Linked DNA regions of Saccharomyces cerevisiae S288C. The protein of the gene in region 1 purifies or fractionates together with the protein of each later gene. This does not show direct contact. Each region holds a gene or a part of one and is shown in the gene's direction. Other genes may lie near its edges.

Evidence for each region. The genes of interacting proteins can lie anywhere in the genome.
Region 2: the proteins of PGI1 (region 1) and TDH1 purify together in Saccharomyces cerevisiae (affinity purification with mass spectrometry; 2 studies listed by BioGRID, with this or other methods). This does not show direct contact.

What each region holds. Positions count from the first base shown.
Region 1 is NC_001134.8:611,648-615,758, reverse strand, and holds PGI1 (glucose-6-phosphate isomerase), read left to right. Parts: upstream 1-1,858; coding exon 1,859-3,523; downstream 3,524-4,111. Other genes in the region: YBR197C (uncharacterized protein), read left to right, coding at 1-556; YBR196C-B (uncharacterized protein), read left to right, coding at 1,129-1,233; YBR196C-A (uncharacterized protein), read left to right, coding at 1,586-1,735; MSI1 (Msi1p), read left to right, coding at 3,877-4,111. UniProt on the Saccharomyces cerevisiae protein: In the cytoplasm, catalyzes the conversion of glucose-6-phosphate to fructose-6-phosphate, the second step in glycolysis, and the reverse reaction during gluconeogenesis.
Region 2 is NC_001142.9:336,376-339,769, forward strand, and holds TDH1 (glyceraldehyde-3-phosphate dehydrogenase (phosphorylating) TDH1), read left to right. Parts: upstream 1-1,895; coding exon 1,896-2,894; downstream 2,895-3,394. Other genes in the region: retromer subunit PEP8, read left to right, coding at 1-662; YJL052C-A (uncharacterized protein), read right to left, coding at 1,509-1,628. UniProt on the Saccharomyces cerevisiae protein: Glyceraldehyde-3-phosphate dehydrogenase (GAPDH) involved in glycolysis and gluconeogenesis. Catalyzes the reaction of glyceraldehyde-3-phosphate to 1,3 bis-phosphoglycerate.

The sequences.
Region 1 (4,111 bases):
GGTTCAATTAAAGGCAAAGAGCGACAAAGATAAAAGAAAGGGATCTTCAGATTCCACTGCCTCTATAATGGGCAGTTCCAACGCACTTCCGACCAAAAACCTAACCACGCCTCCAGCACTAAACCCCTTAACGACCAGCATTAGTAGGGGTAATACTGCATACGAAAGAAGCGTAAATGGTAGCCGTATAACAATGCACTCAAACCTGGCACCTACGGAGACGCAAGACGTATCATGGTCTGAAATCGATACACTGGATGATGTGAAGAAGATGGCGAAAGAACCTATCGTCAACGACGGGTTCCCACGAGATTTTGAGAGCAATCTCACGCAAATGCGCAAGTCGCACGCTCAACTACTGCGATTAATGAGGGAAAGAAATCAGCGACTAAAGTATGCCAAGCTGAGGAGCCCTCCTCATAAGGATCAGCATAATTCTGCCACGAATAAAGATCAAGAACCAGACGAGGTATTGCATGACCCGGAAATCGCACTTGACGGTGAGAAGTACGTGAGCCAAGTTGTCGATACTATTAAAGATGTTCACCGATGCTGATGACATGTATGGGTTGAAAATATTTAGAGGATGCTAAAAGTCCCGTCTAAAATAGAGGAAGTCATGGATTACATTATCACCTTTATTGTCCTGTTCCGTCTGGCTAATTTGGGACGAGGAACGTTTGTCTCCATTCGCAACCTTTTGAAACCATATGAACGGCGGCTAATCTGACAGATGTCTTATATTTCTAGGATTGTAGAAAGCCTCCTCATCAAACCACCTTGTTTGAAAAAGGCACTAGTGCGGTTGCTTTACTTGATCTAGTATTCTCCTACCTTGGAGCGGTCCCATATCAACTAAATTCAGTTTTCTGACTGAGTTAAAAACTAATGTAGCGACACCACTTCCATTGGTGCCTCCGTTATTTTTTTTTTGTATGTTAATGCTAAATAATACACCGCTATGTATTTCAGGGCACTACTTCTACACATCAACGGTACTAAACATTTCGCTCAAGATCGGTCCGCTTTCACGTATTTGGATGCTATGCAATGTTGACTATTCTTAGTGGATAACATGCGGCATTTCCTGGCGGCTATTTGCATCGCTATGTAAGTGGCAATGTTCGGATGTGGGTAGTACTTTCAAAAGAAAAAATATTACTGAAGAAGGCATACTACGCCAAGACTATTTTATTCTCAGCACTTGTCCTACGTGGGGTTAGAGGCGAGTAAGACTTTGGCCCCGCTGCGGAAGCAAAGAGAATTTTGCCATCGGACATGCTACCTTACGCTTATATCTCTCATTGGAATATCGTTTTCTGATTAAAACACGGAAGTAAGAACTTAATTCGTTTTTCGTTGAACTATGTTGTGCCAGCGTAACATTAAAAAAGAGTGTACAAGGCCACGTTCTGTCACCGTCAGAAAAATATGTCAATGAGGCAAGAACCGGGATGGTAACAAAAATCACGATCTGGGTGGGTGTGGGTGTATTGGATTATAGGAAGCCACGCGCTCAACCTGGAATTACAGGAAGCTGGTAATTTTTTGGGTTTGCAATCATCACCATCTGCACGTTGTTATAATGTCCCGTGTCTATATATATCCATTGACGGTATTCTATTTTTTTGCTATTGAAATGAGCGTTTTTTGTTACTACAATTGGTTTTACAGACGGAATTTTCCCTATTTGTTTCGTCCCATTTTTCCTTTTCTCATTGTTCTCATATCTTAAAAAGGTCCTTTCTTCATAATCAATGCTTTCTTTTACTTAATATTTTACTTGCATTCAGTGAATTTTAATACATATTCCTCTAGTCTTGCAAAATCGATTTAGAATCAAGATACCAGCCTAAAAATGTCCAATAACTCATTCACTAACTTCAAACTGGCCACTGAATTGCCAGCCTGGTCTAAGTTGCAAAAAATTTATGAATCTCAAGGTAAGACTTTGTCTGTCAAGCAAGAATTCCAAAAAGATGCCAAGCGTTTTGAAAAATTGAACAAGACTTTCACCAACTATGATGGTTCCAAAATCTTGTTCGACTACTCAAAGAACTTGGTCAACGATGAAATCATTGCTGCATTGATTGAACTGGCCAAGGAGGCTAACGTCACCGGTTTGAGAGATGCTATGTTCAAAGGTGAACACATCAACTCCACTGAAGATCGTGCTGTCTACCACGTCGCATTGAGAAACAGAGCTAACAAGCCAATGTACGTTGATGGTGTCAACGTTGCTCCAGAAGTCGACTCTGTCTTGAAGCACATGAAGGAGTTCTCTGAACAAGTTCGTTCTGGTGAATGGAAGGGTTATACCGGTAAGAAGATCACCGATGTTGTTAACATCGGTATTGGTGGTTCCGATTTGGGTCCAGTCATGGTCACTGAGGCTTTGAAGCACTACGCTGGTGTCTTGGATGTCCACTTCGTTTCCAACATTGACGGTACTCACATTGCTGAAACCTTGAAGGTTGTTGACCCAGAAACTACTTTGTTTTTGATTGCTTCCAAGACTTTCACTACCGCTGAAACTATCACTAACGCTAACACTGCCAAGAACTGGTTCTTGTCGAAGACAGGTAATGATCCATCTCACATTGCTAAGCATTTCGCTGCTTTGTCCACTAACGAAACCGAAGTTGCCAAGTTCGGTATTGACACCAAAAACATGTTTGGTTTCGAAAGTTGGGTCGGTGGTCGTTACTCTGTCTGGTCGGCTATTGGTTTGTCTGTTGCCTTGTACATTGGCTATGACAACTTTGAGGCTTTCTTGAAGGGTGCTGAAGCCGTCGACAACCACTTCACCCAAACCCCATTGGAAGACAACATTCCATTGTTGGGTGGTTTGTTGTCTGTCTGGTACAACAACTTCTTTGGTGCTCAAACCCATTTGGTTGCTCCATTCGACCAATACTTGCACAGATTCCCAGCCTACTTGCAACAATTGTCAATGGAATCTAACGGTAAGTCTGTTACCAGAGGTAACGTGTTTACTGACTACTCTACTGGTTCTATCTTGTTTGGTGAACCAGCTACCAACGCTCAACACTCTTTCTTCCAATTGGTTCACCAAGGTACCAAGTTGATTCCATCTGATTTCATCTTAGCTGCTCAATCTCATAACCCAATTGAGAACAAATTACATCAAAAGATGTTGGCTTCAAACTTCTTTGCTCAAGCTGAAGCTTTAATGGTTGGTAAGGATGAAGAACAAGTTAAGGCTGAAGGTGCCACTGGTGGTTTGGTCCCACACAAGGTCTTCTCAGGTAACAGACCAACTACCTCTATCTTGGCTCAAAAGATTACTCCAGCTACTTTGGGTGCTTTGATTGCCTACTACGAACATGTTACTTTCACTGAAGGTGCCATTTGGAATATCAACTCTTTCGACCAATGGGGTGTTGAATTGGGTAAAGTCTTGGCTAAAGTCATCGGCAAGGAATTGGACAACTCCTCCACCATTTCTACCCACGATGCTTCTACCAACGGTTTAATCAATCAATTCAAGGAATGGATGTGAACAAATCGCTCTTAAATATATACCTAAAGAACATTAAAGCTATATTATAAGCAAAGATACGTAAATTTTGCTTATATTATTATACACATATCATATTTCTATATTTTTAAGATTTGGTTATATAATGTACGTAATGCAAAGGAAATAAATTTTATACATTATTGAACAGCGTCCAAGTAACTACATTATGTGCACTAATAGTTTAGCGTCGTGAAGACTTTATTGTGTCGCGAAAAGTAAAAATTTTAAAAATTAGAGCACCTTGAACTTGCGAAAAAGGTTCTCATCAACTGTTTAAAAGGAGGATATCAGGTCCTATTTCTGACAAACAATATACAAATTTAGTTTCAAAGATGAATCAGTGCGCGAAGGACATAACTCATGAAGCCTCCAGTATACCCATCGATTTGCAAGAAAGATACTCGCACTGGAAGAAAAACACTAAACTACTTTATGATTACCTAAACACGAATTCAACAAAGTGGCCGTCCTTAACGTGCCAGTTCTTTCCTGATTTAGATACCACTTCGGATGAGCATCGCATCTTGTTATCCTCATTTACATCTTCCCAAAAACCTGAAGATGAGA
Region 2 (3,394 bases), on another chromosome or scaffold:
ATGTTAAGGTAACAGTTATGAGGAAGTCCACAGACATCTCGAAAATAAAAAGATTTTGGGTCTATCTTTATAATAGTGTAACTACTGCGCCAAATACCCTTTCCGCAAATGAGACAAAGGCAACCACTAATGACATCGCTGGTGGTAACTATGCTGCAGATAATGCGAGTGACAACACGCAAACAAAGAGCACCCAGGGTGAGGCGGCAGACGTTAATCAAGTTTTGCCGATATCACATTCAAATAATGAGCCCAAGCCTGTTAGATTGGATATAGGTATAGAAAATTGCCTTCACATTGAGTTTGAATATGCCAAATCCCAGTACAGCTTAAAAGAAGTCATTGTGGGGCGTATATATTTCCTTTTAACGAGACTAAGGATAAAACATATGGAATTAAGCTTGATCACAAGAGAATCTTCCGGCCTACAAACTTCTAATGTAATGACAGATTCCACTGCTATCCGATACGAAATAATGGATGGGTCTTCAGTGAAAGGTGAAACCATACCCATAAGATTATTCTTGAGCGGCTATGACCTGACGCCCAATATGAGCTGCAACTACTTTAACGTCAAGAATTATTTGAGCTTGGTTATTATCGATGAAGATGGCAGAAGATATTTTAAACAATCAGAAATAACATTGTACAGGACCCGGTAGAAAAGCTCGACCTTAAATAAGGTGAAGATGTGGTTCTCTGTTCTTTCAACATCTCGATATTTAACTTTTCGTTTGGCATTATAGTGTTATACATAACAATATCTAGATTTCAGTAGAAGACTTTTGCGTAAGTTATAACGAACTAAACAAGCAAGAGGTAAAATACGATATAGTAAGAAGCTCAAGTGCTAAAACTTTTTTTCTCTACGAAAGGAGGAATAGCATATGGTTTTCTTCCCTTTTACAGTGCTTCGGAAAAGCACAGCGTTGTCCAAGGGAACAATTTTTCTTCAAGTTAATGCATAAGAAATATCTTTTTTTATGTTTAGCTAAGTAAAAGCAGCTTGGAGTAAAAAAAAAAATGAGTAAATTTCTCGATGGATTAGTTTCTCACAGGTAACATAACAAAAACCAAGAAAAGCCCGCTTCTGAAAACTACAGTTGACTTGTATGCTAAAGGGCCAGACTAATGGGAGGAGAAAAAGAAACGAATGTATATGCTCATTTACACTCTATATCACCATATGGAGGATAAGTTGGGCTGAGCTTCTGATCCAATTTATTCTATCCATTAGTTGCTGATATGTCCCACCAGCCAACACTTGATAGTATCTACTCGCCATTCACTTCCAGCAGCGCCAGTAGGGTTGTTGAGCTTAGTAAAAATGTGCGCACCACAAGCCTACATGACTCCACGTCACATGAAACCACACCGTGGGGCCTTGTTGCGCTAGGAATAGGATATGCGACGAAGACGCTTCTGCTTAGTAACCACACCACATTTTCAGGGGGTCGATCTGCTTGCTTCCTTTACTGTCACGAGCGGCCCATAATCGCGCTTTTTTTTTAAAAGGCGCGAGACAGCAAACAGGAAGCTCGGGTTTCAACCTTCGGAGTGGTCGCAGATCTGGAGACTGGATCTTTACAATACAGTAAGGCAAGCCACCATCTGCTTCTTAGGTGCATGCGACGGTATCCACGTGCAGAACAACATAGTCTGAAGAAGGGGGGGAGGAGCATGTTCATTCTCTGTAGCAGTAAGAGCTTGGTGATAATGACCAAAACTGGAGTCTCGAAATCATATAAATAGACAATATATTTTCACACAATGAGATTTGTAGTACAGTTCTATTCTCTCTCTTGCATAAATAAGAAATTCATCAAGAACTTGGTTTGATATTTCACCAACACACACAAAAAACAGTACTTCACTAAATTTACACACAAAACAAAATGATCAGAATTGCTATTAACGGTTTCGGTAGAATCGGTAGATTGGTCTTGAGATTGGCTTTGCAAAGAAAAGACATTGAGGTTGTTGCTGTCAACGATCCATTTATCTCTAACGATTATGCTGCTTACATGGTCAAGTACGATTCTACTCATGGTAGATACAAGGGTACTGTTTCCCATGACGACAAGCACATCATCATTGATGGTGTCAAGATCGCTACCTACCAAGAAAGAGACCCAGCTAACTTGCCATGGGGTTCTCTAAAGATCGATGTCGCTGTTGACTCCACTGGTGTTTTCAAGGAATTGGACACCGCTCAAAAGCACATTGACGCTGGTGCCAAGAAGGTTGTCATCACTGCTCCATCTTCTTCTGCTCCAATGTTTGTTGTTGGTGTTAACCACACTAAATACACTCCAGACAAGAAGATTGTCTCCAACGCTTCTTGTACCACCAACTGTTTGGCTCCATTGGCCAAGGTTATCAACGATGCTTTCGGTATTGAAGAAGGTTTGATGACCACTGTTCACTCCATGACCGCCACTCAAAAGACTGTTGATGGTCCATCCCACAAGGACTGGAGAGGTGGTAGAACCGCTTCCGGTAACATTATCCCATCCTCTACCGGTGCTGCTAAGGCTGTCGGTAAGGTCTTGCCAGAATTGCAAGGTAAGTTGACCGGTATGGCTTTCAGAGTCCCAACCGTCGATGTTTCCGTTGTTGACTTGACTGTCAAGTTGGAAAAGGAAGCTACTTACGACCAAATCAAGAAGGCTGTTAAGGCTGCCGCTGAAGGTCCAATGAAGGGTGTTTTGGGTTACACCGAAGATGCCGTTGTCTCCTCTGATTTCTTGGGTGACACTCACGCTTCCATCTTCGATGCCTCCGCTGGTATCCAATTGTCTCCAAAGTTCGTCAAGTTGATTTCCTGGTACGATAACGAATACGGTTACTCCGCCAGAGTTGTTGACTTGATCGAATATGTTGCCAAGGCTTAAATAAAGCAATCTTGATGAGGATAATGATTTTTTTTTGAATATACATAAATACTACCGTTTTTCTGCTAGATTTTGTGAAGACGTAAATAAGTACATATTACTTTTTAAGCCAAGACAAGATTAAGCATTAACTTTACCCTTTTCTCTTCTAAGTTTCAATACTAGTTATCACTGTTTAAAAGTTATGGCGAGAACGTCGGCGGTTAAAATATATTACCCTGAACGTGGTGAATTGAAGTTCTAGGATGGTTTAAAGATTTTTCCTTTTTGGGAAATAAGTAAACAATATATTGCTGCCTTTGCAAAACGCACATACCCACAATATGTGACTATTGGCAAAGAACGCATTATCCTTTGAAGAGGTGGATACTGATACTAAGAGAGTCTCTATTCCGGCTCCACTTTTAGTCCAGAGATTACTTGTCTTCTTACGTATCAGAACAAGAAAGCATTTCCAAAGTAATTGCATTTGCCCTTGAGCAGTATATATATACTAAGAA